Linked DNA regions of Drosophila melanogaster. The protein of the gene in region 2 purifies or fractionates together with the protein of the main gene of each other region. This does not show direct contact. Each region holds a gene or a part of one and is shown on either strand. Other genes may lie near its edges. The genes, in order: CG5126 and Vha36-1.

The links.
Region 1: the proteins of Vha36-1 (region 2) and CG5126 purify together in Drosophila melanogaster (affinity purification with mass spectrometry, with the first as the bait; one large-scale study listed by BioGRID). This does not show direct contact.

Annotation. Positions count from the first base shown.
Region 1 is NT_033779.5:1,177,776-1,193,585, forward strand, and holds CG5126 (uncharacterized protein), read right to left. Parts: upstream 6,246-15,810; 5' UTR 6,145-6,245; coding exon 5,754-6,144; intron 5,697-5,753; coding exon 4,720-5,696; 3' UTR 4,522-4,719; downstream 1-4,521. Other genes in the region: CG4896 (uncharacterized protein), read left to right, coding at 175-269, 333-692, 1,066-1,294, 1,352-1,421, 1,677-1,750, 2,085-2,162, 2,222-2,348, 2,438-2,674 and 4 more; Tgt (tRNA-guanine transglycosylase), read left to right, coding at 6,391-6,479, 6,548-7,742; CG5001 (uncharacterized protein), read left to right, coding at 13,909-14,134, 14,195-14,423, 14,481-14,850.
Region 2 is NT_033778.4:15,527,770-15,543,024, reverse strand, and holds Vha36-1 (vacuolar H[+] ATPase 36kD subunit 1), read right to left. Parts: upstream 1,591-15,255; 5' UTR 1,489-1,590; coding exon 748-1,488; 3' UTR 527-747; downstream 1-526. Other genes in the region: eIF2Bgamma (eukaryotic translation initiation factor 2B subunit gamma), read right to left, coding at 1-67, 121-271; CG8187 (uncharacterized protein), read left to right, coding at 1,753-2,325, 2,385-2,568, 2,622-2,995; CG30467 (uncharacterized protein), read right to left, coding at 3,088-3,447, 3,506-4,711; CG30471 (uncharacterized protein), read right to left, coding at 5,375-5,500, 5,557-6,103, 6,165-6,530, 6,597-7,434, 7,500-7,830; Khc-73 (kinesin heavy chain 73), read left to right, coding at 11,836-11,890. UniProt on the Drosophila melanogaster protein: Subunit of the V1 complex of vacuolar(H+)-ATPase (V-ATPase), a multisubunit enzyme composed of a peripheral complex (V1) that hydrolyzes ATP and a membrane integral complex (V0) that translocates protons.

The DNA.
Region 1 (15,810 bases), on a different chromosome or scaffold from region 2:
GATTGTTTCTGCCTGAATGCAAAGAGACTTCCAGTTCGGGAACAAGTTTAACCAGCTTCCAATCCTGTTACAGTCGTGGTAACCAAGTAAGATGTGCGCACATAGACGGTTCATCTAATGGCAAAAGGCCAAATCACAAACACTGCATTTAATTACAATCGATTCGCATTAGATATGGATTCTCGATATGGTCACAGCTTCTCGGGCGGCAACGGAAACGGCAGCGAATCGGGCTACAGACGCTACAGTCGCTCCCGATCCCGATCCAGGTAGGTAGTCCTTTGTCCACCTGGAGCCTCTTAGTGGATTACTACCAATTGCGATTATTTCAGGGAACGAAGTCGGGACCGCAATGAGTACAGACGTCGCAACTCCCGTTCGCGCAGTCGGGAGCGGTCCTCACACTATAGAAACGACCGCAGTCCGGATCGCGATCTGTACCGCGACCTGATCAACGAGGATTACGAGGATCAGGGAAACTACAACTCGAGACAGAACCTTGACCAGCGCCACGGCGAGGACAAATACGATCGTCGGCATGCTGATAGCCAGGGTCGCAGGGATCACGATAGCAACTACGACAAGAGTGGCCAGGATATGGATAAGGACCGCGATCACCGCTGGAAAAACTACGATCGCGTTTCGAGAGAGCGCAACCATGATGACTTCGATCGGGGATCGGAGCGCAGCAGGTAAGAAATGATACATATTGCATATTACCCATATCGTGCTCAGTGTTATCACTGAGATTAAGATTAAGCTAAGTTCTATGTTTCCATTCACAAGGCTTCCATAAGAAGGAGGACTCCTCTTTCACTAGTTTAAAAGACCTTTCATTTGCTAATCACTTGTAATAAAAGTCAAAATAATTAGAAATCAACCCATTCAGTAATGTACACTTCCCTTTGTTCGCATAAATGCATACAAATCATCTTATGAAATATTCATGCTGGATGCCTTTAATTACAGTGGATAGTATGCAAACGATGGTTTCAAACGAACCGAACGAAAATTTATTCGACAAAGTGCTCATTGTATGACCTTAAAGAATCGCTTTCCTTTCAGCCGCAGCAATGACCAGCGGCAGTTCAATAATAATGGAAATAGTAACTCCAGCAGCAGTTACAGAGATCGCGAGAAGGAGCGCGATCGAGATAGACGGTGTTCCTCGGACGAGGACAGCGACATGGCCAGCGAATTCAGGCAGAGAGGTGCCTACAACAGTGGCAGCAGCGTTGAGCCCTTGAACAACATAATCCTCTTCGGTCTGAAGAAGCACGTCACGGAAGCAGACGTAATGTTTAAGCGATAAGCAGAACGAATGTAAAATTAACCAAGTAATCCTCCACAGATCATGGGCGAGCTGATCAAGGTCGACCTGGAGCCCACATCCATTCGCGTGATGAGGAAGCAACAAACAGGTGGGTTACATTTCCGTGTGTTACATTCGATTTAAAGTGAAATTGTAGAGAAAGCGTGAGTATTGCGTGCCCAGCAACATGTTCGATGTAGGACTTATAGCAATTTCAATTATACTTGGCTTCGACATCAGCAAAAACATATAGAAAACTACAAACCGAAACAAAAACACAATCCCCAAAAATGACACAATGCTAATGATACAACCAACATTTTTTGACCAAACATTTTCGTATCTACTTCTATCTAAAATTTAGGTGCCTCACGCTGTTTTGCATTTGTCGAGTTTAAAACCGTTGAGGAGGCGACTCGTTGGATGGAGTTAACCCAGGTATCCCTAAAAACCACAAGAATCTTGAATCTTCTCGTATCCGCCAAAATAGAAATGACGGCAAGATCCGATAGCTTGGCATCAACTGTTGAAAAATGTGTGCCTTGAGTTCAATTCTGCTGGTGGGCTGCCTGTCCCTTCCATTTTTCTGTCTTAGATCAGGGAACTGAACTCAAAGGCGGAATCGAATCTTACGTAAAGGAAGCAACCAGCATCTGCGTGATGTCGAAAAACACAGATGCAATCTTGGTGACTGTGTAGTCTGTGAACGATTTGCCTGATCAGCAGTTTCAGTTACTAATTCCAATTTTACCTCTTCTATTTTTCCGTTCAGGGAGTCCTCCAACTGGGCGATCATCGTGTCACCATGCAGTATAGTCACACTCGCATCTCAGACTGGACTTGCATTAAGGTATGCTCCGTTAAGATACAGATTGGCAACAATAATTAGCTTTTTTCGCCATCCTTCAGTGTGGTGCCAGCAACTTTAAGCGCCGCTTCCAATGCTACATGTGCAATGCGTCGCGGGCGGAGAGCGAGAATGCTCTTTACGGAGCCGGCGAGGGCGTCGACGAGATCAGCCAAATCCTCACAAAAAGTATATCCACCATGAGCAATATCTTTCAATGCCGTTTCCTAGCTAATCAGCTAAATACCCCACTAACCTGCCACGCTTTCCCCATGCAGAGATCATGCTTCGCGGCTTGGACGCGCTGACAAACGAGGAGGGCGTGCTAACTGCCCTTCAGCAGCGCCTGCCCGAACTGGCCAAAACAGTCAGCAAGGTGCTGGTCAGTCGCGACGCCCTAACCAATGCATCTCGGGGCATTTGCTACCTCAATTTTGACACACTCATTGATTCTATGAACGTGTTCAACGGGCTGACGGCGTTGGATCCGCCACTCACTCTGGACGACAAAACAGGTAAATTATTACTTCTTAATTATTTCATAATTAAAAAACAAAACTTTAATCCATGCCCTTCAGTTATCGTCACCTACTGCATTGACTCCGAAAACCGTCAAATGATGCCAGCCGAAGGCAACTTTTTTAGAGCAGGTGAAACAGCGATGTCTCCGTCGGCCATTACGGCGGCCTACACTTTGGCGGATGTGCCTCGTCTTGCGGAGTACAGTGCATCCGTGTATGCCTCGAATCCGTTGGAGCATGCTAACTACGTCCAGTACTATACGGATTATTACACGACTGAAATAAGCAAGAACTGCAGAGATCGTCAAGTGACGGAGGCCAACTCCGGCGCTGCCGTTGCTCTCTCGGCCATCCAGCGCAAGCAACGGAAGGTCAGCCAGATGGAGACCACGGTTTCGGTGACAGAGGCGAAGGTCGCCTTCCTTGCCAGGGGTGAAAGTGCTCCCAAGGGGAATGATGGCAAGAAATACGGTAAGTGAGCGCACACTATTCTATCTATGCGCTCCTGTAATGTCGAATATTTCATGCTCAATGGTTAGATACTCCCGATGTGTCCAAGTACCAGTACGACGAGACCTCCGGCTACTACTACGACCACGTTACAGGACTCTACTATGATGCCCACTCGCAGTACTACTACAACAACGAGACGGGCGCGTATTTGTACTGGGATCAGAAGCGGAGCACCTATGTGCTGGCCACACCCGCTTCCACTCAGGCAGCCCTCAAGGAAGTATTAGCCGATGCCGAGAAAAAGGAGGAGGAGGCCAAAAAGGCAAAGGAGAAGGAAAAAGAAAAGGAGGAAGCTGGGGGGAAGCCCGACAAGGTGAAGGTGGCCAAGAAGATCGTCAAGGACATGGAGAAGTGGGCCAAGCAGCTAAACCAAAAAAAGGACTACACAGCAGTGGCAACGCCGCAGCCTATCCTGTCGGATACTGAGGCGGCCACCACCTCCCGTGCTTCCCAAGGGGCATATGCTGATGTGGGATTCTCAATCCTTGAGAAGAAGGAGCTTGGCAAGCTCAACGACTATGTACCGGAGGCAGGACCTCCAGCGATAAGCAAATTGGTTGGTGCTTATGGAGGACCTTCTGACTCGGAAGATGATAATAGTGCCAATCAGAAAGCACTTGAAGCTAGCGTTGGGACTAAACGAGCCATTAGCGATGAATCTGACTACGTGGACTTCCAAAAACTTACTTGCCTGCTCTGCATGCGTGCCTTCCAATCGCTGGACATCTTGCAGAAGCATTTGAAAATGTCGAATCTACACAAGGAGAATCTGGACAAGCTTAAACGGAATCCCGCAGTTGAGGCTGGCACGGATGAGGGTCTATCGTAAGTGGGAATATGCTGCTAGAATGGAGATAAACTCACTAATTTACTTACCCGTACTTAGCTATCGTGATCGTGCCAAGGAACGCAGGCTGAAGTACGGTGAGAGCGATCCTCCTCCACCAAATAGGAGCCGGGAGCGTTTCGAGCAAGAGATAAAGACTTTGCAGTCGCGCCAGAAGGATTCTTTTGGCGCCACTGCAGCCATGCCCATCAGTTCGACCAACGTGGGCAGCCGCCTGATGCAGAAGATGGGCTGGTCGGAGGGCCAGGGACTGGGCAAAAAGAACCAGGGACGCACCGAGATCATAGAGGTAGGAGTCGACGAGGGCGACGAATGGCAAAATATGGATAATTCAATGTCAATGTGTATCCACAGGCTGATGGTCGTTCTAACAACGTGGGGCTGGGCAACAACACTGGCCATATGGCGCCTGGGAACGACTACAAATCCTACATCAAAAAGATGATGAAGCAGCGTTATGAGAACGCCTGAGACTCTTCTTAAAGTGTATGATTTTATTCCGCTTGAATATAGGGGCATTTAAGCATTGTTGTTTACCTCGATTACACTTCCTCCACCTTGTCGCGTTCATTTAGCATTAGTTGCGAAGTTCAAATTGTAAATAGTTCGTAAATACAGTCTCAAATTAGGTTTAAATTTAAATTGTAAATGCTTTAAGTATGGAATTGTGCAAGGGAATCTAAATCTCGTCCATGTAGCCATGCTCATAGGCGTGACGAACGGTCTTGAAGATCTCCTGGTTCGCCTCATCGCCAGCGATGTCCAAGGACAACTGGTGGAAGGCGGGGCCGTGCATATCCGTCTCGAAGAGGCGGGACAACTCGGCGCAATCCTTCTCGGTGCCGAGCAGCCAGGGAAGGAAGTGCATGCATACCATTGGTCCGTAGAAGGCATATCGTTTGAAGTGGGCATTGAAGCGTTCGAAGCTGTATTCCTGTAGCAACTGGTCCACCCGATCGTCGGTCAACTCGTTCCGGTTTCGGCGCAGAACCAGTTCCAACATTTCGATCATGCTTCGATGGTACTTGCGCAACAAGTCGGCGTAGATCTCCTTCCTTCCTTCGGATGGCGTGTTCATGTACATAAAGAAGCTCAGGTCAATGGCCGTAGTGCTGAAGCGCAGCTCCTGGAAATCGATGGCTTTGATAGCGTCCACCTTATCTTCAGCGCCGTAGTGGAACAGCACGTTGTTCCTGTTGTAGTCGCCGTGCAGAAAGGTGGCAAAGTGGCTGTCCGGTTGATCTTCGGCAAAGGAGCTGGTGCGGATTCTCTCCAGCAGGAGAGTTGGCTGCTTGAAGTACTTCTCCCGCAGTCGCTCGATGGCGGCCCCGAATCCGGGGTCTGCCCCCTGGAGGAGCTGCTCCTTTTGCCGGTCGTAGAACTCGTAGAACCGATCGAAAGCCACGCGATAGAGGACATCAAAGATGCCCTTTCCTGAGCTGGACACGAAGGGCATGTCCACCACTCCGGCGCGCAAACGAGCATGAACGTTCGGCTGGAGGATTTTCGTGGCGTAGCCCAGAGCATGGAACGGACCCACTAGTCCTACCATGGCCTCCAGCTGATCCCGTCGAAGGGTTAGCCTTGGCCCCAATTGGTAGCCATCGCCCTTGAGATGCTTTAGGGCCAGCACCGATTCCCTACCATTCCCTAAACCTGCAGAAAAGTAAACATTCGATGTAGTCATGGATAAAGTCTTTGTGGGATGCGCACCTTCAACGTGGCCAAACCTGGCGAAGTAGCAACAGGGAACCCAGTTCTTTACCACTTCGCTTTCCAGGTGACTCGTCCGAAGCACATTCTCATAGGCGGGCAGGATCTCGGCGTAGGCGAAGATCTCGTTGGAAAACTGGATGTACGAGTTGCTGCTCTCCCGGAACTCTTCCGTTCCCTTCATGAATTTGACCAGGACGACCTCCGTCCGCTTGCGCTCGGCGATGACCACGTCCAGCGTAACGGTGTACAAGGCGGACATGAAGCCGTCCAGTCCATTGGAGCACTCAACGCTGTGCGATTCCAGCGAAGCACTCGGACCAAAGTTCTTGAAGATGTCGTACACCAGGTGGCGCTCTATATAGTCTAACTGCTGCTGTTGCGTCGACATCGTGACCTCCACGCAGGAATCAATTGCTATCTGAATGGGTAATCTTAACTGACAATATACGCAAGTAGGTGTATATTTGTCCGGGCAACCAATCAAAGTGGTATCGATAGCCACGCGCAGGATTTTGGTATATTCCCGGTTTCAGCGAAGTGGTCACACAGAATCGCGATTGAAACGTGCACCGCCGGCGTATTGCGCGTAAACATAAGACATTTCACGGGGAATTTTCTGGACTTTGCTAACTCAATGGGTCCCAGCCACATTCCTCCGCTGACCTACAAGGTCGTGGCCGAGTGCTCCGTCTCCAAAGCCCGGGCGGGACTGATGACCCTAAGGTGAGCGTCTGCAATAAGATAGGCCTTGAAAACTGTGACTAAGCCGCATTACCAACTCTCCTAAACAGGCACAGCGAGGTAAACACCCCGGTCTTTATGCCCGTGGGCACTCAGGGAACCTTGAAGGGCATCGTGCCGGACCAGCTCATCGAGCTGAACTGCCAGATTCTGCTGGGGAACACCTATCACCTGGGCCTGAGGCCCGGAATCGAGACACTGAAGAAAGCCGGTGGTCTGCACAAGTTTATGGGCTGGCCCAGGGCCATTCTAACAGATTCCGGTGGCTTTCAGATGGTTTCCCTGCTGCAGCTGGCCGAGATCGATGAGCACGGTGTGAACTTCCGGTCGCCCTTTGACAACAGCCAGTGCATGCTGACGCCGGAGCACTCCATCGAAATCCAGAACGCCATTGGTGGGGATATTATGATGCAGCTGGATGATGTGGTCAAGACCACAACAACTGGCCCCCGGGTGGAGGAGGCCATGGAGCGGACTATTCGCTGGGTGGATCGCTGCATAGAGGCCCATGCCCGCGACGATGACCAGTCGCTGTTCCCCATCGTCCAGGGAGGATTGGATGTGCCGCTGCGTCAGCGTTGCGTTTCCGCTCTCATGGAGCGCCAGGTTCGAGGCTTCGCCGTGGGCGGGCTAAGTGGTGGCGAGAGCAAGCACGACTTCTGGCGTATGGTGGACGTGTGCACTGGCTATCTGCCCAAGGACAAGCCGCGCTACCTGATGGGCGTGGGTTTTGCGGCGGATCTGGTGGTCTGCGTGGCCCTGGGCATCGATATGTTCGACTGTGTCTTCCCCACCCGGACAGCTCGATTTGGTTGCGCCCTGGTGGACAGTGGGCAGCTGAACCTGAAGCAGCCCAAGTACAAACTGGACATGGAGCCCATTGACAAGGACTGCGACTGCAGCACGTGTAGGCGTTACACACGCTCGTACCTGCACCACATCGCCACCAACGAGAGTGTCTCCAGCTCCCTGTTGAGCATACACAACGTGGCCTACCAGCTCAGGCTGATGAGGAGCATGCGGGAGGCCATTCAGCGCGATGAGTTCCCCCAGTTCGTCGCGGACTTTATGGCGAGACACTTCAAGGCGGAACCTGTTCCGGCTTGGATACGAGAAGCTCTGTCTGCCGTAAACATCCAGCTGCCTGCGGATCCGGAGAGGATTGATGAGCAGGACCAGAAGCCAAAGACCGAAAAGAGACGGGAAACAGAGGACGTGGCGGAGGAGCAGGTGGCCTCCAGCTAACATCATCACATAGCAACCTTTGTGTTTTGATAACCCAAAGTTCCGACTAAGAGGCATTTCTTAATTGACACATACGTTCATGTATTTTACATGTCAAATGTCATGTAAGTTATTTTCATAAGAATAAATACTTAATTAGACATAGAATAAAAAAGGAAAAATAAATTACATCATAAAATTCAATCATACTGTGTGGATACAATTTATTTTGCTTATTTTATTTTTTTGCTTAAAGTTAAGGTTAGTAGGTTAGTCTATCATACCCCATAGCAGGGTAGCAGAATACTGGTTTTCATCTCTGCTCTGCCCACGTTTGTTCCGCTCTTGCGTAAAGCTCTCGACTCGTTGTTACCTATGGGAAAAAGCTCCATGTAGCCATAGTATGACGCATAGTGCAAATCGGTGGCGATCGTGGATCTCGCGTGGAACGACCGACCAATTTGTGATATTCTACTTGATTTTCGCCTTTGCCACGGCCTCTTTTCGTCCGTTCTTAGAGTAGGTGTGCGGTATGAATGGAGATGATTGGGAAACCTCTCCACTTGGCTCGGAGCTCTCTTCAGTGCTTGGCGCATATCTGTTTTGGACTGAACTCTCTGGGGGACAAGAGATACCCGCGACTCGAGATCTCTGAGAGCGGGAGCGCGAGATCGGGGCAGTGAAGTGGTGCTGGTGCTGGTGGCGGTGGTGGTGGTGGTGGTGGTGCTGCTGCTGCTGCTGCTGGTTCGGTGGATCGTTCAGTGAGTCCCCAAGCGTTGTCGCGTCCACTTTATCGCTGTTTCTGTCGCGGATTCGAACCACTGACTAACGGTAGTGCTGCACGCATCTGGCGGTAAATTGGCAGCGAGAAGCCCGCGCTAATAATACATTCTGAAAGCCGTCGAAAGGATTGCGAGTCCATATCAAGCATACGCCCGATCAGCCGCCAATCGATTGTAAGGAGCCACCCGAATTTATTGCTTTTCCACTGACAATTAATCACGGACTTGCTGTGCGTGTGTGTGCGTTTGTGTGAGTGCTGGAGTGGCTAGTGTGTGTGTGTGTGTGTGATTTTGTCTCGTTTCGTTTGCCAAATGTGGTAAAAGCGAATAAAATAAAATGAAAAAACATTTCGAAGTCGACAAACAATCGTGCTTTTTATGGCGCTGTCGCCTTTGCTTGTGGCCAGGATTCCGATTGGAGCATTCGCGGGGAGCGGAAAGAACCGAAAAAACCCTTATATAAAGTATACGCCAAGTATACCTGCCAAGTCCAAAAGCGATATTATTTATATTTTTGTATTTGCCATCGTTTTTGGCTTTGGCCTGTGTGTTTTTGAATTTCATGGTTTCATTTCTTTAAATAAGTTTTATTTTTAGCACTTTTAGTTATTTTTGTGTATATGTTTTTTTTTTGTTCTCACCAATTTCGCTGCTGCTGAGTTCAGTTTGCCTGATTATTTTCCGAAATCTTCATGCCGATTCTTTGGAATATTCATATGGGGCTTCCATTCTAAATTCTACAGTGTGCTCACAATGTGTGAAGTGATTTGTGTTTTTGAAATTCGGTTTAGTTAAAGGTGCCCCTAGGGTGGACCACAAATCGGGGAATATATGTATGTGGAGAGATCAGAGGGAATCACTTTCAAAACACAAAATGTAGTACTTAGTGTGTATAGAGTTCAGCCAAACGAACCTTCCAAAATAATCCCATAAATAAACTACTCAAATGAGTATTTCTGCTTTTTTTGATGTCCACTAACTATTGCCTCATTTTTCAAACACTCAAATTCGCTGGCCACAAAATCATAAATAAAAAGTAAACACACAATGGAGCCGATTATGATTGAAGGCACTTGGCGAAAAAGACTGCTGGCCTCCAAACTTAAAGTCCCAGCCAAATACAAATACCAAGGCAAGTGGCCAATACCAAGTGGCAACAAATTACCAGCGAAGAGTGTAAAAATAAAAGGAAAACTCTGATGATTGCCGCTAATCATAATCACACCAGAATCTCTCTGTTCGAACCGCTGGCTTTTTGTTTTTGCCCAGTATTTATAAATTATGACACATTCGCGAGTGGAAGAGAAAAGATATGCGGAGGAGAGTACTTTTCGCATTTCTTCGCGCTGCCACTCTTCGAACAGCTGCTGCGTGGGCGGAAGACTGGCGGGGGCGTGGTCGCAGAATTGTTTTGACGGTCTTCGAGCCGCAGAACACATGCAAAGTTCGTCGTTTTTCGAAAAGAAAAAACGAGAGTGAGAGCTGGCGCCAATTAAGCAAGTAATTATGGCGAAAGACACAAGGAAATAAACTTTCGCGGCTTTGTTTGTGGAAATTGATTAATTTCAATCTCTCAGTCGTCAGCTAAAAAAAGCTCGTCTTAATTATATGAATTAATGAACCCTGTTTATAAGAGCGGAAATTAAAATACAGCTCATCACTCACTTGGGAAGATTCACTCACTTGGCAAGCTAACTGAAATCCAAAAAAGTGTATTAAATTGTAAATTAAATAAATTCAATGTTCCATAAGCCGAATACTCTGCAAATAATTCTACTAAAAGCCTGAGTAAACATCATTGCAACTTATTTTAATCAGAGTGCCCAACAAATCAACAACCATTTTTGCACTAGGAACGCATATTCCAAACAGCTGAAACAAGTTTTTCAATCTTTTGGTGAGGCAGCAATTTGAATTTAAAAATCTTTGCTAATAGTTATTCTATGCAAAATGGTTGTTTGCATAAATAAACGGAAACGGAATGCTTGCCTGCATGTTTTGCCGCCCAGAAATCAATGCTCTTTGCAAATTAGCACGAATTCCGGCGAAAACAGAGGTTCATCTGCAAGATAAACCGCGCCGGAAAAACAGAATCACCTCCAATCCCATGGAAATGGCTGAGTGCTGATTCACTTGTCCAAACGACGAGTAGCATTTCTCCAAAATCGAAAATGTTTGGCTGCGGATTGTGTGGGCGACTTGCTCCGCGTCCAAAGGTAAACTCGCTTAGTCATTGGACCTATTTTTGCAGCGGATTTGCGACTTGGAAACACCCACCCCAGAAATTGGTAGTTACCTTAGACCTTGGGCGGATTTTTGGACATCTAATGCTGCTTGGCCTAAACGATTTGCCTTCGGTCACGGCCGAATGTTCGATTCTTGTCGCAACCATTTTTATTCTGAGTGTGGGTGAACAAACTTCACGGTGTTTGATCGGTTTCTGGTTGGTTTCGAATGGTTTTAGGCCAAAAACATTGCCATTCAGCCAATCGCCATCAGTTGACAATGAATGGCTTTTGTTGGTGACTTTGAAAAATACAAATAAAGGGAAAAAACATGATTCGCATTCGTATCTTTGAGAGCGAGAGTAAAAGGCTGGACTTGAATGAGATTCATGGGATCAAGATTTTTGACAACCTTGAATGCTCAGATTTGTGGAATGTAGCAAAAGATAAATGAACGGAAAGTTACAAATTATTATGAAAAAAAAAGCTGGCAAGTACTTTTTTGAAATATACAAACATATATATATCTATCAGATACAAATTGGTAATGAAGTTTTGCTTAAGTAAGAGATGTAACGAAAGAGCTCTTCTAATCCAAAAAACTGGTGTATATAGTTCAAGTAAACTTTTGCCTATTTATCAATCAATTAGCTCTGGTTCGAATGTTTAAAGTGGCGATCGGGTTTGTTTATCCGAGGAGACAAATGTTGACTGTGGCATTAGTGAGTGATTTTATCTGAGAAACCTCAGGCCCCAGGCAATAAATAAGAGATCCGAATGGCCACACATAAATCACTCCACCAATTTGAAATTCGTTCATTATTAAATTCGGATTCTTTTAATTCCAATTTCCATTTCCATTTCTCAATTTTGGCATGTGGGCATTAGTTGAGGCACCGAACGGGATTGGGAATTAAAGTTGCCGAGTCGCGCACTAATAAATCAAGTTCAATTCAATTAGTGCAATCCGGGGACACAAACAGTTTTCATTTCCTCCAGCCCCAGTTGGCCTCTCATAACCTACGACAATTTATAATGCTGGCAGAAGTGGAAAGAAATGCAAATGCAGATTTGCAAAATGCAATAAACCGGGTGCGGCATGCAACGAAATGACAATGAAACGTTGCAAATGCAATTCACTAATAACGCAGCGTCCAATAAATTGTTAAACAAATGTTGTTCGGCAATCAATAAATGAGCTGCCGCCAGTGTCTGGTGAATAATACATGCGGAAGTGGGTGGCTCCGCCCACCCGAAACATGTTGTAACTGCCATAAAAAGCGGCTTTTTATGGCCGAAGTAATTTCCAATCGGCATGAATTTATTTTGCACCTTAAGCCCGCAATTTTGCACGAAACAATGGCTATAATTCAATAAAGAATCATAAAGAGAATTATTGAAACGCGTGCGAAAATCTCCGCCGTTAAAAAATACATAATTCAATTATCGGAGTATGCAAAACATACATATAAAACGCATAGCATAAACGCGCCTTGCGTAACATCTCTCGCATATCTCATTTTATTTATTTGCTAAAAAGACAGAAAAACTTTCTTTCAATAAACGAAAATGTTGGCAGTGTGTCGGGGGAAAATTCAGAAAAAAATATCAAAAATATCTGCGACCTTGTCCCCTGCTCGCTCAATATGGCACACATTTGGAAGCGATCCGGAATGTATCTCACGATCCGCGATCCGCCGGCAATTTTGTGCACAATGACTGCAATGACTGACTAATTTCTGGACGGGAATGGAATGGATTGGTTTGGAATGGCGCTGATCGCATCAATCGCCCGCTGTCAATATCGCCAATAGCAAATCTTGCGTGCTTCGTTCCCCTCCCCATGAAAATCTCAACTCAAGGCGCACATTTGGCGTCAAAATTGTCAACGCTATGTATCTCGAAATGATATTCCAAGATGAAATCAGTTAAGTCCAAGGCTGGAGAGCGTTTCGAGTACGGATTGCCGGCCGAGTGTTGACATCTTGAATGCTAATGAATTTTCGGGACGCGATCTTGAACTTGAGTGATGACAGGCCTTCTCAGTGCAATTAAGATCTCGGCGATCATCATGTTTATCATGGATCATAGAATGCCGAGATGTTATGATAGCTGTTGATCATAAAAACAAAAGAGATAAACTACTCGTAAATATATGTATTATATACAGACAATTTATAGTCGATGTTTTTTATTTCCATCCTCCTTAAAATCTTATTCCCGCCCAGTTATAACTATAAATGCGGCATGATTGTTGTGGTTGTGTACAGATTCTGTCAGATTCCCAAGATGATTAACTTTTCGCGATGAAAGGTCCAGTGATCTTCAGTAGATTGATTTATTAGGAAACCGCAGTTTCGTAGATCGAAGCAGGAACAGTTTTATGTTACAGCTGTCTCCACGCCCCTGATAGACTTGTCAACTGATCAAGCCATACGAATAGTTCGACGGGCTGTTCCAACCCCAGTGATCTCGGGATGTCATAAATGTCATCGTCAATTCCAATTCAAATGGCTCATGCTAAACTCAATTGGACACCCCAGATCTTCAGATCTCTCGGAGATGTTATCGTCAATGCAAATTGGCTCGCGAGCAATTCTCATCGCTGTAAACAAGCGAAAATATTAATAATATTAAGTAAATGGCTGAGTTAAATTATATTATATATTAAAGTATCCATCAATAAAGAGTGTGTGTATTTGGTAAGGGTGGTGAGAAGTGCGCATAGAAGAGCTTCAATGTTCCGGAAAGTGAATAAATACTTCTAGCTGGCCGGTCTAAAATTAGTGAAAGGCGTGGGCGGTTCAACATTGAAATTTAGTGACGCGTCTTATGATCCGAATGGAACTACCTATACACAGCTAAATGTATATATACACAATTTCTCGACTTTTTGCAGATCTTTTGCGATAGTAGAGCAGTGAAACAGCCAGAGAGAACGACAAGATGCATGTGCCATTATAAGGATAAAGGGAAGGATAGCAACTAAGCAGGTCCTCGTTATATATGGAAACCCAAAACTGATATTATTGTAGGTAACTAGATACGCTGAGAGAAGCGATCCCTTCTAATACCATACCCACTCCAATTGGCAGATACTAGACTACAGTGAACTTGAGAGTCAACTCTTTACCCACATACTTAGAACCCACTCGCCCCCGCCCCCAGAAGTAACCTGCAATGGGTAAGGACTACTACAAAATCCTGGGTCTGCCCAAAACTGCCACCGACGATGAGATCAAAAAGGCCTACAGGAAACTGGCCCTGCGTTATCATCCGGACAAAAACAAAGCCGCCAACGCCGAGGACAAGTTCAAGGAGGTCGCCGAGGCGTACGAGGTTCTTTCGGACAAGAGCAAGCGGGAGGTGTACGACAAATACGGCGAGGATGGTCTCAAGAGCGGAGGTATGCCAACACACCATTAAGTACCATTCCCATAGCTAACCTTGAAATGCTGACTTGCAGGCACACGAAACGGCGGTCCGTCGAGCAACTCGTTTACATATCAGTTCCACGGCGATCCGCGGGCCACCTTCGCCCAGTTCTTTGGCAACAGCAATCCGTTCGCCTCGTTCTTCGACATGGGCGACAACCTGTTCGACAAGAAGGTCTTCGATCTGGACACGGAACCCGATTTCTTCTCCTCGCCCTTTGGCGGCATTGGGTCGCGACATGGTCTGGGAAGTGGCTTCAGGTTGGTCCATCCCCGCGCAGGTTGTACTCCCTGGAATTCCTTGCTCATCTCTCGCAGGCCCTCTTTCAGATCACACTCCTTCAATGTGCACACGCCGTTCAAGAAGGAGCAGAAGCAGGATCCGCCCGTCGAACACGATCTCTATGTGACGCTGGAGGAGATCTACCACGGCTGTGTTAAGAAAATGAAAATCTCCCGGCGCATCGTTCAGGCGGACGGCAGTTCCCGCAAGGAGGAGAAGTTCCTGGCGATATCCATCAAGCCCGGCTGGAAGTCCGGCACCAAGGTCACCTTCCAGAAGGAGGGCGACCAGGCGCCCGGAAAAATTCCCGCCGACATTGTGTTCATCATCCGGGACAAGCCGCACGCCATGTTCAAGCGCGAGGGCAGCGATCTGCGCTACACGGCGAGACTGACGCTCAAGCAGGTGAGTCCTGATCCTGATCCTGATGTATCCAATAGCTTGGGATACTATAGACTATAGTATTAGCCCTTGCTGATTAAGCACCTCTTAACCAACGCACTGTGGTCATGTTCCTCCCAAGATTGGTGCCTCAATTCCACTTCATCTTAAGAGCCCAGTTCTCAGAGCTGGGTTCTCACAGCTTGGCGTCCAATTAGAGGCGCAGCCAGTGCCTAAATCGAATTGTAATGAAATCGGGCAGACGAGATGGTTATGGCCAGATTTACCATATATATACGCGCCGAGCGGCAAAGCAGCCGCCAAATTGGTCGACATGGTCAAGTTTCAATTAACGGAGACGGAGAATGGGTTTTGGCCAGCAGGCTGCTCCGTAGATTGGCTCCCACTGAGGTGTTAGATTTTTACACGGTCGCCGAAGCGCAAAACTTCGCACAGCATTTTTTGTGGGCAGCAGCCCACTTGGGGGTTAAAAATATATGGTCAGATTGAAAATTTTAAAAAGGCTCAAAACTGGCCGAGACTGGCGAACAAGCTGAAATGACACGCCGCTGAGTTGGCAGTCATGTTAAAATTGTTAATTGCATTAAGTAGATTAAATAGTTGAGTTGGCTGCCTCGCAGATTTTTAACATTTTATTGCTTGTTAGTGCGACAAATTTAGTAAATACTTTCGGGCTGCTCGCTCGCTGCCAGCCATTTTTGGCATAGTTGGCCAAATAATTTCCCACTGGCTCTGCTTTGAATTTATGAATTGCATTTTGGCTCTGGTTTTGAGCTAAAAGTGTCATGTTGCTCCCTCTATATAGCAATATTTGACACGGTTATTTGGCGCCGAGTGGACAATGCGAATGGTTTTAATTGAAATATATTTCGGCCTAAAAGCGCATACATACATATGTATGTATGTATGAATAATAAAAATATCTAGATTTACTTGCCAATCTGGTTGATAGAGGCCAATAAA
Region 2 (15,255 bases):
AAGGGAGTGTTTTCCAGAGCAGATTGGATCTCTAGTTTTTCTTGCTCCAGTACCACAACAATGACCTCTGAAATATTTTTCAATTAAATCCAGGTTTTTAATTCAGACTATCCGAATTACCTGTAAAGTTGTGTTGTTGCAGCAGATTTAAGGGATACCAAATCAGAGGATATGGACCCACCGGCAGCAGGCATTTGGGGGCATCCCCCAAGACCTCGGGTAGACGAGTGCCACGCCCAGCGGCAAAAACTACGGCCTGGAACTCGGTCATTGTTTCACAAAAATATAAATAATTTCGGCTAAAAAGCGTGCAAGCACAAAAAGAGCCACGCAAACAGCTGATCCAATGCAAGCGAAACACCTACGAGCGCTGTCCAACACTGCTTCCAATCAGACATATGTTTGCTGTCATGTGACTGTGCAATTGTTTTTGTTGCTTTTGCTATTGTATAAAACAAGTCAGATGACCCTTTTTGCAATGAAAATTCCCTTTTTCCACTTAATTATTACACAGAATGCACATCGTATGATACAACAAGACTTTAATGCATGATTTGCGCAGCTTACACTACACTACAAAAATGGAATACATACTTTTCTGCTTATTGGAATAGTCTACACACTTTTGCTACATAGGTACAATTAAGTTTGTGGCTTGCCCTTTGCGAATTACAATATGGAAACGGATACAGAACAGAAAATAGTTTAACAATAATATTGCTGGAATAAACACATCCAAGGTAATACTTAGAACAGCACGTCGTCATCGCCCTCATCCAGGATATTGGCCTGCTGGCGCACATCGATGCCCTGCTGCAGCAACTCCGCCTTCTTGGCGTCGGCCTTGATGCGTGCCTCGCGCTTCTTGTCCTGGATCTTCTTCAGTCGGTAGAACTCCTCACGCTCGAGCTCGTCCAGCTCCGAGATGATGTAGGCCAAAGTCCTATCGATTCGGGGGATGATCACATGCTCAATGGCGTTCACACGACGGTTGGTGATCTTGATCACCTCGTCCAGGGTGACGAATGAGGTCTGCAGCGAGGCCAGCTCCACGAGCAGTTTAACGGCGCTTTGGTAGTTCTTCTTCAGCTTGGCCAGCTGCTGACCACCACGGGCTAGACCGGCCAGTTCGTAGGTGTCGGATCCGTCCTGGTAGGACTCGAAAACGGGCAGAGTGACACCAGCCACGTTGTCCTTCTTGGTGCGGATCTTGATCTGGGCCTTGGTCACGTTTTGCAGCACCACTTGGTTGATGTCGCCAGACGTGAATTTGGCCTCCGCCAGCGAGAAGGCTGCCTCTTTCATAACATCACCCATCAGGGTCTTGGTCTCGATGATCTTGCCCAGAATCAAACGGAATCGCATCTGCAGGGCATCCGCCTTCTTCTTGAGCAGACCGTGACCTTTCTGGGCTCCAGCCAGACGGGCCTTCATCAACATCTGGGCACCACGGGACGGGAAAATCGGTAGCCTATCTTTTCCGGACATTTTGCTGTTTTTTTCGGATGGTAATTGGCTGGACTAAACAATTTTCAACTGCGTATCAAGAAAACTGCAACCGTCGCAGAACACTGAAAAACTCCAACTGGAAAATGACGGATGACAGTGTTGGCTACTGCCCGTAGCCAATCGATAACCAGTTGGTGCTGGGTAGTGCGCTTAGATACAGTACTGCAAAATACGCAGCCACAGCTGATTTTGCATTTAAAAGTAAACAAATCTAATAAATTCCATTTCTTTATTGGATTTATAATGCTTCTGCAACGCGTGTGGTTGACACATTTAAACAACCATCTACGCCAATACGCGAACAAGTCGCGAGCCCACATCAAACCAGCCATGGCCGTGAGCATGCGGATGGTCCATCAGGAGATCCTGCATTATGTAAACCCCTTTGCCAGGATCAACGTGAAGTCCGATGTTTTCCTGCGCATCCAGCCCGCGGATGTGCATCAGTATACCAGCGGGGATGTGTTTATCGCCCAACTGGTTGGCGGCCATGTCAAGAACTCGAATGTCTCTCTCGATGTGAAGGTAACCGATGAGGACAAGGTGGTCAATGTGGTGGTTAAACAACTGGCGGAGCAGCCCTCAAAGCTTGAATGCCATCTGCAAATACCTGTGCGTTCCGATGTCTCTGTGGACGCAAAAGGTAGTGTGCGAGTGGAAGGCATACAGAGTGAACTGCTGCAAGTCAAAGCAAAGGAAGGCATCCTTACCAAAAATATCAAGGCCACCCATATAAACTTGTACAGTGAAAATGGCAACATCAATTGCCAGGGCACATTGCTGGGCAAGATTACCCAAATAGAGTCACAAAATGGGGTGAGAAAAAATTTACTATCAATCTGATCTTATTATTAACCTTTATATTTCTTTTTTAGAACATTGCGATGGATAAGTTGCAAGGAGACAGCTTGAATTGTTCCACCAAAGCTGGCAGTATTGTAACCGATTGTTGTTATGTGGAAAAGTCAAAGTTTCAGACACAAACTGGGCGTCTGGAGCTCAAGAATGTCCACAAAAGCAGCGAAGTGCACGTCCATCAGTCGTCGGATCTCAATATGAGTATGCGAAACAACGAAGAATAACACCATCATGCTAAAAACTTTCAATTTCAGCTGGAGTACATGGCAATATTCAAATAACTACCAAAGGAGGAAATTTAAATGTCCAACTCTCTGAGCTAGTGGGGAGCAACAAAATCGACGCCGAGAACTTATTAGAAGAGGCTATCATACACATTTCCCAAGCCATAGAGCAGAATCTTCACATCGAGGTAACAGCCCCCGAAGTGAAATTGGAAAACGAACTGGAGCATGTAGCCCATGCTCTCAACGAGAGCAAGAACAAATTCGTGCTAAGCAATCCAAATACAAATCGACTGGAAGTAAGCAGCACAGGCGACAAGGGCGTGCGCCTGGGAAAACAGTCATGGAGCGATATGATGCGTAATAAGTTGAAGGCTACCGGCACCTTGGACGATTTACCTTAGGTAAAGACAGAGACTAACTAAGTTAAGAATATATTGTGCTGCAAGCTACAATCTCAGTCATTTTTGCTTTATCCATCATGGAGGCATGTTGTTTAGGCTTGGCCCGACTCCTTAGCCACTTTATCCTTTAAGCATTCAAGTGCCCTTGAGAAAATGGCTTCTTCCTTTCCGGCTTTGAGTGCAGACACAAACAGTTGCACCTTTTCATCGCCAATCTCTTGGAGATCCGAGTTTTCCGCTTTTATCACCATACATGCCAACAGGCGCAGCAACTTCAAGGCGTTCTCCACATACTGCTCCTTTGGAGCGTCATCCTCCTCCTCTTCGTCCTCTTCGAACTCATTGGCGTCGGGATCACTTCCCCCCGTGTAGTTGTCAATGTGCTGTTTAAGTCTATACCACAATTCCAAAAGATTTAAGAAGGCCTCCTTGTGATAGAAGTACTTCAGGCGCTGCAAAAATAAATATTTAAATAGAACGTCGAATATTAAGTATCTTTTCCAAACTTACACTCCAAATGTGCGCCAGATCCTCGAGATACTCCTCCTGGCGTTCGCCTAATGGAATGAGTTGCAGAGGCTGCTGCAAAAACTGCAGTATTCGCGCTAGACAACTGACTATACTGGGTGCATACACATCCATGGAGGCCTGCGCCTCTGGCAGTTGGACCAGAATGGTGCATATATTGAGGTAGGTTTGTATGATCTCCACATCACAGGTTATTTTTGGTCCGCACGAGTCGTAACCGACGTCGGCATCTTCATCACTGTCGTGGGCCGCTGGCACTTCTGCATCTTCGTTGTCCTCGCCAGCTTCCTCGTCGGTCAATTTTGTCTGATCATCGCGCATGAGTCGCAAAAACGCGCTATTGACCCCCTCGCAGAGTTCTGGCACTAGAAAGACCTCCGCAAAAGGCTTTAGATTCAACGTGGAGTTTGCGTTTTCCTCCTCCACCAAGGCGCAACTGGCCAGCACAGCATTTGTGGCCTTCAGTGCAGCTACTAGCAGTTCATCGCTAACGGACAGTTGCAATATCCTGCCCAGGTTCTGCGCGGAGTTCTCAAAGGCAGCAAAGCAGATGTACCAGTTCACAGCGAACTTCTCCTTGCCGCTAAGCACATGGGCCATGATGTACTGAAAGAGTCGCATCAGCTGTATCAACATGGCGGTGTCCATGCAGTATGTCATCTTGAACAGGGTTTCCAACGTGTAGCGGTCACAGGCCAATATCTCTGCGCACTCCACCTGGGCGCACATATTGCCCAGCAGTCCGATAAGAATCTCGTAGAGCCGCACATCTTCACAGCCCGCCACCAGGGTGTACATGATCGGATCAATGGCTCCGTTCTCCAGCAGCAGTGTGACCACTTCGGGGGACACCGACATGTCCCACACTTTGCACAGGTCATCCTCCAGCTGCTGATCCAGTGTTGAATGCCGCAGTAATTCTCCCACCCTCATCACCGTTTTCAGGATGAATCGACTGCTGTACATGGTGTTGCCGACTGCATCGCCGCGCATACGCTCCAGCAGCTCCGCCTCCTCGGCGTCTTCCTGGGCGGGTGGGGGCGTGGTCGAGGCGCTACTGGCGCTGGCAGAGGCGGAGGCGTATGCGTCGCTTTCCTTGTGATTCGAGTTTTCCGCGGATGGCACATCGTTTTGCTTGGCGGCCACCGCAAGACCACTCGCCGATGGCTCCGCTTCTTCCTTGGGCATTTCGATCTGGATCCGGGTCTGGGCAAACTGTTTAACGGGTTCGTTTGGCAGAATGCAGAATGGCAGTGGTACTAATCAATATATTTTGGACAAGATCTTTTTTTTTAGACGCTGTCAGTGGGTCCGTTGGTTCTTTCATAAAAAATACCTTAAGCTTTGGAAAAGTCAGTTCGGAAAAGCTCGGTATCTAAATCACTTTTACATAAGCAGGTCACACTTTCTCGCACTTCGGTGGGTTGATCGTTTAAATATATTGCTCAAATGTGTGATACTTCTGAACTGGGAAAGTTAGTCAGCTGGTTAACAATATCAGTTTACAACTTAAAACAACCAAAACTACCTTTAACTTCTTTGAAAGCAACCAAAAGTGTGGATTTCATTAGTTAGTGAAGGTGCAAACCTAATCATCACCACACGTTGTGGAATCCAATGGAATCCACAAGGAAATTTAAAACATTGGCGCCTACACTTATTAAATATCGTATTATTAGTATGTTTGTTACTAAATTCAAAAATTCCAACAGCAACGTTGCTATAATATTATTCTTTTAATATTATATCTAAATTCGAAAATTCCAATAAAAGATAACATTATTTTATAACCATAACTTTCTATTAATAAATGACTTAGATGTAATGCTAACAATGAAAGGTAATCACAGTTTATGAGGTTTTTGGTTTTCCCTTGAGCAGCAAACTAGACAGATTGCTGTAGGGCAGCTCAAAAGCCAGCGAAAAGGCGATGGAGGCCAGATAAACGATCATCGTAAACCCGCAGCAGATGACGCTCTAAAGAAACAACTCAATATTATTAAAAAGCAAAATCAAATGAGAATGCAACTTACCAGCAGAAAGGGATCAACTGCAGAGCTCGTACTGGTCAGACTGTAAACGAGGGCAATCACCAGGGGATTTAATAGATATATGGCGTAGGACAGGCGGTTCAAATGCTGAAAGAACTTGGCCTCCAGCAGGCGTGACCACCAAACGCCAGTACCCGATGCACTGCCCACGATCATCCAGCAAATGGTGAGGGAAAACAGAGCGCGACCCAGAACAAATAGCGATATGGTGATAAGGTAACCCAGATCCCGCTTCACCGTAGAGTAGATGCAGCCCACGAACACCTTGAGACTGAAATGCCACCACCGGCATATCCGGCGTTCACTCAGCTCACTCACTTGGAATCGCTGCTCCTGGTAATACCATGCGGCTATGGCTCCCACGATATAGGGCAAAACTCTTACAAAGGGACTCGTGTATATCTGAGTGCCAGTCGCATAGGTGGAGTCGAAGGAGAACTCGAACTTCTTGGCGATTCCAATGCCGTAGGACCACGTTATCGTGCCCATTAGTCCAGTGAGTGTAATTGCCTTGGCTAGCTTTTCATGCCTGGATAGAAATATAATGAAAATAATAATATATTTCCTTGCGATTTTAAATCCAAACTCACTTGGCGTAAATAAAGAGCACGATGTTTGCCAGCAGGAAGAACTGCATGTCGCAGGCGAGGCTCCAACTCCAATTGGCGCACATTTCGCGGTGATCGAAGAGGTTCTGGATGAAGAGTAGATTCCTCCACCAGTGCTGTGGGCACAACTCGTCGAATCTCTCGTTGATGTGGAAAACGGAAACGTCTCCGATGTAGGCGAAGGCCAAGTCCACGCTGCCCATCACCACCAAGTAGAGAGGACCCAATCTCAGGTAGCGATGGAACAGCAGCTTGCCAAAGAGCTTCACATTGCCCCACAGGCCATTGCGACGCACTGCGTCCAGCTGCTGCTCATTTCTCAGGAAGTTGTACGTTTGCAAAAAGCCACTGGACAATTTTTTGTTTTCAAATGGATCAGCAAAATACATTAGATAATCGAATGATTATATTTACCTGATGGTAAAGAAGACGTCCACGAGAAGTGGAGCTGTGGAGACGTACTGGAAGAAGACCTGTTCCGCATAGGATATCAGTACCGTTTTGTTGTGCACAGTGAAGTACATGTACCACACGACATGGAAGATCAGAATCCAGATGGCACACACCGATCGCAGACCATTCATAATGGGAATCTCGCCTGGCTGGTTCTCCCTCATGGCGGAGATCTTCCGCCAGTTATTGGCCACATCGAAACAGGACACGAAACTCTGAAAAGGCTGCCACTTCAAGAGGGTATCCAGTGCCTGCCACAACTCTGATTCCACCGGAGCCAGACCCAGATCCGGCTCATCGGCCCTCTTGGCCACCCGCACTTGCTGGGCGCAGAGCATTAGGGCACCGGTTACCAGGATGGCGGCCACCACCAAACGGAAGGTCAGCCTCTGGTAGAAGCGTTCGCTCAGCCGGAGGTCCTTCATGTAGAGCACCTCCGGCTTCATATCGAACATATCATCCGCGGCGAACAAATCTCCGGCCACATAATACCTGGCCAGCTGCTTCACCTCCTCGGAGCTGCAGGAGCTGGGCAGGCACAATCCAATGTGGAGCACCTGTTCGGACATCACCTTAATCTCCACCTGCCACGGTGAGCGGTGGCGCATGTATATCACGCGGTAGTCCATCCCAAAGGGAGCACTTTGCGTGAGGATGCTGTAGTGCATTACTCGCTCGTAGTTCCGCGACAAGGTGATGCCTACGGGCCGACGGACACCTTCACATCCATCCCGACTGCCCAGCCAGTAGTTCTGGCCGAACACAAAGCCGGATGGCTTGGTTCCCGACGCATCTAAAACTAAAGATATACGGAAAATTATATTGTATATATTTATATATATACTAAAAGTTCTGGTCACTCACCCTTCATGGCCCATGGTTGCCTGCTGAGGATTCCCCGCTGCACTTGCTTCAAGTGGGCGTAGCAGCTGGGAGTCACATTGCTCTCGTTGGCCACTTTGGTAAGCCCGAAGATGACGGAGCTCCTGGTGAGATGGGGTTCATGCGGTGATTCGATGGCAGCTGCTTCTTTTCCCCGAATATCCGTTGAGATAATTTCTGGGGACAACTCCAGGCTGCCGTTGAGAAATCCGTACTCGTAGCGGTGCCGTCGCAAAGTGGACTCATTCACGGCTGCATTCACCACTAAAATCCAGATGCTGATGATCAAGACCAATCTCCAGTGCTTTTCCATGCCGAGGAACCGCTAACGAAGCGGCAGCTGTGAAAAGTAAGAGGTGTTTAATTGTTGACCCGTCAATACGAACGCACTCGAGTTACGAAAAGCAAACCGAGTTGGACCTTAAGTTACGTCTACTTCCTACCGGAAAAAATTTACGAGACGCGTAACGAAGTAATGATGTTTTTCAAATTAGTTAACCCTTTAAGATCCCAATCAATTTATTTCCTAATTTCTTATCCTCCTTAAAATCAGCACCTTTTAAGAAACCAACTTTCACTGTTTGTTTAAATTGATCACAGAGGTAACATCGAATGTATCTTTATTGAAATAGCTGTCCAAATAATGCGTGATTTATTCCAGATTCAATGCTTTAATGGGCTAAAGAAACGTATTTCGTTCAGAAACATTTACAATATATATAGGTTTTCTTATATCTAGAACTTTCTTTAGAGAGCTATTTAATGTGAGATCTTACATTTTTTCACTAATTAATATTCTTTACATTAAAAGGGTTAAAAAGGAAAATCGCAGAACATGGAAGTGGTGTGGTGGCCAAGTGGAGGACTTTAGAGCTCAATTCAAATATCAATTAGCCGCATCCGAACAAGTAAGTGCGTCTCAATGTCAGCTGCAATGTATCGGATTAGTTCGATTCACGAGAAATTCGTGAGATACTGTATCTACAATGAACAGTCACCCGAAGGTTTACGGATGCCCGAGGCAAAAACTGTCGAACTTGTCACTTGCGCGCTGATTCATGGAAACTCAATTGCCAACTATTGAAGCCACCAAGTTCAGTGTTATTACCACTAAATGTCTGCAAAGGTCAACGACTATGGCCTGGTACATATTGCTACGATCATTTCATCTGGTGTCTCCAGAATTTACTTGCATACATTAAGCTTGACCAGGCGTATGGCATCTTATTGTCGTTTGCCCAAAGTACTCATTCCAAATAAATTCGTTGTTTGCATTGGCTGATTGAGGTAGAAATTCGAGAATAAGTCCCCCGGGCGATTTGCCAATTTGGCAGCAGGCGTGGGCCAAAAATTATCGAAAATATAAATATAATATGGCTAATGTTTTCTTTGCTCTCGAAGACGTCGTCGAGATTCGCAGTTGTAAGTCCCCAGATAGCCAGTTTGCATTTTATGGCAGCTAATGGCTATTCGATGAAACCATTTCAAGGGTAAATCGTAAATCTGCGCTTGGCTTCGCATCCACTATTATATTATTTTCCGATTTTTGCCTATGCAAATGAACCTTCACCTTAACTTTGCGGATCCCGATCGCCCAGTTTGGTTTCTTTTTCCCTCGTTTTTTCTTTGGACAAACGATGGGTTTTGTAACTAATATTCGCGAACTGGCTCTGGTTTTGCCATGTTTGCTGCACGCTGGTTTTTAATGGAATGGCTGTAGGAAAAATGGTGATTTATATTTTGACACTGCCTGCTTATGATCGCGTTTGGGGGTCAAGGATCGATTTCAATCCGGGATCTGCAACTAATCGAAGTGACCTACTTTTCAAACAATAATCCAATCAATATAGAACTGTCCTTGGCACTCGCTCTTATTCCAAAAAATATTAGTTTACCAGTATTTTTGTCTTGTTTATTTACTTTTGTAAGATTCGCAATCGAAACTAATTTTTAGGATGTGTGTGTTTTTTTTTTTAGCGCGACACTCGCAGCTTCGCGTCTTTCGCAGATACTGTGACCCTTTGCGGCGATTCCAAACCTTTATAAACTCCGTGAGCGCCCAAAACGCACGTGAACAGGTATCAAGCGGGTATTGAGTTAAAAAAATTAATAAAAAAACAGCAACAAAAAATGAGATACGAATGAAAACAAACCGAGCGATGAAAGCGAAACTGCTTTTCGCTTTGTTTATTTTTGGGAATCGGAACGGCCTGCATTTGCGATCGGCTCGTTATTTTTTTTTGGTTCACACGTATACGTCACTAGGCCGGGCTCAAATTGCCGGTCTTGAGTTCTCGTTTTTCACGCCGATCGATCGCGTTCATTGACTCCGCTATGATGGGGAGGCGTTCTTCCGAGTTGAAAGTCGCTCCCTTAATGAGGCAGTGGATCCTTGCATATGCGAAACTAGAAACCTACAGGAACTACATTTTTCTTTTTCATTTTCCGTTGGTAGCTTTTTTATTCGTCTATATATCAATATCAATAAAAAGTAAAACGCAACTGATCAAGTTGCCCACTTATGCGACCCAACTTCAGTTTTTTTGGAACAAAATAGGTTTCACTGTACTGAAAATCAGCATTGCAAAACAGGAAGTGCCACTTAAAATGCAATTGCAAATGGAATGGTTCCACTAGGGAACGGTTATTTTCCAACAGGGTCAAAATAAATTACAGGAATATACAACGGAAGAAGCCGATATATTTCCACATTAAATTAATAAATGACAAGTCAAACAACAAATTAAATCTAATATGACGTTCTATAAGTAAAACTTATGATTATTTCATAAAAAAAGTATACATTGGTTTGAAAAAAAATGGTCCGGGGAATCTGGGACTCAAAGAATTCGTTCTTAAAAGATAATTCAAATGATTTTAAGATCGTGGTCAGATTATTTACTTTAGTTTGTAGTACGCTAAGTAAACGAGTTTTATTTAATTTTAAAATTATTAAATATTTTTTAACATTCTAGCTGGACAATACTTCTACCTTTGTATATGTTACCTTTATATAATATTTGCAATAACATCATTATATATATATTCACTTTTTTAATAGATCCAAAGTTTGAAAATAACGATATTTTAAAAAGCCCTTTTTTCGGTCTGTGAATGGTCACACTAAAATTCAATTTTAGAACTTAGCGAGTTCACCCACCCAAACTAGAATTAAGCACATCGTTTTTGGTATTTTTAGAAAAGAAAACTGTGGTATTTCTTGGGCACCCTGCACACGGTCACACTCATCGATAGTCGCAAGAGCAATCGATGATTCTGCATCACTAGTAAAAATTGCTGAGAAAAACGAAAACGCGAAAAATGAAAACGCAATACAGAAAATCAAAATTGAAGTGAAACCAAGTGCGAAAACGAAGGAGCTAAAGGTGCGGTCAAACGATAAGCATATCCCAAATGAAAACAATGCGAGTGTGCAGCCAAAAGAGGCCCCCATTTGTGTTGCTCCCCTCGAAAGAAAAAGAGCCATAAAAATCGATTCTTCAAAGAAGTCGCACACTGCGTTCGAGACTTTTTTGCGCGGGCGGTGGAGCCTGGCGTTGCTTTTCGCCAACTTTTCGTGGAGCTCGTAAAGTTTTTGTATTTCGCGTGGCTTTTGAGGGTTAAAAAGAGCTACCTGTGCATAGTGCATACCTGCTGATCTGTGTGTGTGTGGGGGTGTAGTTGTGTGTGAAAGTGCGAAAAGAATATCAAGTCTGTATGTACATATTCGCATTTATTTGGACAGCCCTGAAAAATCGGACAGGACACTAGAATCACATTCTTAATTAGCTAATTTCCAGTAAATATTTGAGTGTGTCTCGCGTAAATAACGGAATGCCAGCACATGACAATAAAACGTATCCGTGTGCGTGCAAGTGTGTGTGTGTGTAGTAACAACAAAGCAAAAAAGCAAAAGCAAAACAAAGTGAATGACAAACGGCGAGAACGAAATGGAAAACCACCCCCCGCACCACCCACTTACTGTTAGACATGTGTGCGCGTGTGTGCGTGGCGCTAATTGAACTCACACAATATATATAATTTATTTTTTTTGGCGCTCCACAAAAGCCACTTACTTGTGAGTCAGCTTACGACTTCCACCTGCCTTCCAGATTGCGTGCTCATAACTCCCGCGAGGACGACAACTACCGCTAACAACTAACGGTCATAAAAGTCAAAAGCAACGAAGCCCGAGGAGAAGGAGCTAGCCACGCCCCCCGCTGCAGCCCCCGCTTAGGGAGCCCCGCCCATCCGCATATCCACTCCGCTTCATCTAAATAGAGATTCAAAAACAACACCCGCTGCATCCACATCCGCGATGGCTAGTGATAAGATCAAAGTCGCCGTAAGGGTGCGACCCTTCAATCGCCGAGGTAAGTGCCGATTTACATGCCCCACATAATCCCCTGTACTGGGAGAAAAATTCGCCAACTTATGGAGTTTCAAAATATAAATGTTTCACAATCGACATGAGCACAATAATAAGCAACAGATAGACATAATTTCTGATTTTTCATTGTACAAAAATGTTACATTATCGTAAATTAAAAAACAAAATAATTTTGGAGTAAATCTGAAAAGCTACAGACTTAAAGCTTAAATATTCGCCCTTTAATTTTGTGTTTTAATGCGCTCATATTTATCTATTGTTATGTTAAAACTTTCATCTTTTTTTTAGTATAATAAAGTAGTTTTACGGTTGGTCGTGAGGGTGGTTAAGCAATTTCTATAAAATTATAACATCAGATGCCAGGCACTCCATTTATTTTGTAAGAGTTGATAATATAGTTCATAAGGAGTTGCCTTGAGTGGCCCGCACTTTCCATTTTCCCCACTTTTTCACATTGTTTCCCAACAATGGCCAACAAGCACTGCAGTTGCCTGCAATCAATAATGCAAACAACCAACCAGGCAAGCGACTGTTTTTTTAGGCTAACGAAATTTACATGGGCTTCCTCGCTTCCTTTGAAATACGGTTTCGTTTTTCAACTGCTGCGCCAGCGGATTTTTCGCAGGGCTTAACTGCAGAACTACAGCGTCTACCTACGGGATGGTAATGGGATGGGATGGATTGGGATGGTTTTGCAAGGTCCCCGGTCTGCTCGTCTGACAAACGATTTGCGTTTCCAGCTAATTTCGCGTTACCCACTGCCAGCCACGAAGTGTGTTGCAAGTGCAAAATAACTAAAAATGAAAAACAAGCAACAGCGCCGTCAGCGTTTCCAATGTCAACACTGATCATTCATTTGGCTCATCCATGACTCACACTCGCGGCGGCGTCGGCGGAAGCGAAGGATGGCAGCGGAAAAGGGGCTCTACGACCCAACCATATGCAAAAGATACCTATGTAAACGCATATAAGCGTGCTGCATGCTTGTATTTATGTGCCTGTGCGTGGGGCAAGGTCCACTTGGATCCCCTGCTGTATTGATTGAATGGCAAACTTTGATTGCACATCTTATTTATATTTACATAAGGCATTGAATCAGTTACATTTATTGCATTTTGGTGCACCCTCTGTTTATAAATTGGCATAACGTAAAGTTTGATTTCATACACATATAAACAAACGGCAGGCTTAGAAAGTATTCCATTTATATGGGTCACGATCCTAATTGATTGAATGACAAACCTACACCGATGACTCCATGTTTGTTTATATTTACATGATTGTATAATCCATCAAAACACATTTCTGTTGTTATTTTGTAGCTTTTCTTTTCATACTCAGTTTGTCATAACTCGATTAGATGGACTCTAACCTATTAGGTCTTTATCTATAGCGAAGCTAATGGATGAATTAGGATAATTGCAATTGCATTCTGGTTTTAGAGGTAGTCGTTGTGGAGCATAGTGCAATAATTGTGCACTTGCAAGTATTTGCAAATGAAACACAAACTAGTCTTAGTAGCTATGGGACCTTAAAGTGATGAATTCTGCGATCACAGATGCTCATTTAATTACAAATAACTTTGTAATTTTGACAAATTTATTACCACGCTAGTGCCAGCTACTTGTGAAACTAATTAATTGTATCCGTAACACTTGTATATACTTGTTTATTGGCAAACAAACAACTACTTCTGGTTATCCATCATAATGTGTCACTTGTAATATTTTCCGGCCAAGTTAGGCGTACGCATGGACTTGGTAACCGCGTGTATTTTTAGAAGTTTGACCGTGTATCGATGTTGTACTTTGTCATGTTTTTGGCTTGTTTGATCCGTTGCTGTTTTGGTGTCTGAAGAGAGTAGTAGTCGTAGTCACCGGAAAGTCTGCGATAAGCAACGCAGAATCGTTATCACTGGGCTGATAAAGGCTTGTATTTTGCGATACCCAGCGTGTTACACACTTGCAGTGACTGGCATTAGTCAACAGTGTATTTGGGCCATGTCCGTAACTGGTGACCTCTCCGCGTTGAGCTGGCCAGCAGAGCGTAAAATGAAAACAGAAAAGGCAATTTCAAACGCAAAGACACGGCAAAGGCAGCTGAAAAGTCAGGCGGCGAAACAAGCTCGAAATGAAGTCACAGCTCTTTACTTCTTACCAAAAAGCTTAACCTGTTTTCACTATGCCAGTGTATGCGGAGTATATGTATGTTAATTTCAGCGCTGGACAATAGCGAAGTGAAAACCGTTTGAGGTTATACGAACTCGCCATCAAATCAACTGACCAGAACTACAAATGAGACCATCAAATAATTTATGGCACGCCTTCGTCACATTCGAGACTTTGAACAAGACATGTAGCCCGTAGCCACCAGCCGGTAGGGTCAGCTCGTTGCTCCTGAGTCCTTTGCGGCTTTCATTTCCATGTCATGTCACGTTCTCGGCTTTGTAACATAAACCGGAACGGAAGTTCCAAAGGCCAGGCAGCACACCAGGATACGGCTGTACATAGATATATATATGTATATACCTATACTTTTAGCCCAACCATTCCATCCCGACTTGTGTGTGTGTGTGTGGGCCCAAATGTGTCTGTCCGTCTGGGTTTGGCTTTGACGTCGCTGTTTTTCCCCTGCTCGTCATGTTTTGTGTGCTGTATAGATATAGATATGGATATATAGTATGCCTTTGCCATTTCGCCGTTCTCTGCCATTTGGATCCGTTCCGTTTTGTTCGCAGTGAATGAAGTATGCGAAGGACACGAGGAGGCATCGGAACTGAAATATTTCCACGATTTATTAGCTGGCACTCTTTTTACCAACCAGCCAGCCAGGATGAATGGAATAATCAACCCGATAAGGTCACCTCGCTTGCTCGTATTAAATGCTGCATTTAAGGAGTGCACACCGTAGATAAAAACATTATCTATATTATTATTAAATCTATATATCGTTTATTTTAAATCGTTAATTGATAAAATCAAGGGCATCCAAATTCGTTTTGAGAACTATCTAATCGCCCATTGTTTTATTGCTGCTAAAATATTTATTACATGGACACGTTGGGCAACTTAGTTTTCTGCCTTTTTTCGTTTGTTTACAATTTATTTGAAAGGTTCCCTTCATTGAGATAATAGTGGCATTGGCATTTTATACCCAACATGCACATTTATCGCCCCTTGCTCTCTACACTCGCACTCATGTACGAAAAACCCAACACACAGCCTACTGTGTGTTATGTGTGCAGGCTATAGCAAGTGTATAAAATAAATTGTTTTTGCCACTTTGAACTCGTTATCACCCCAAGCGCGGAATAAAGGCGAAATTATCTCAATTTCACACATAACATAT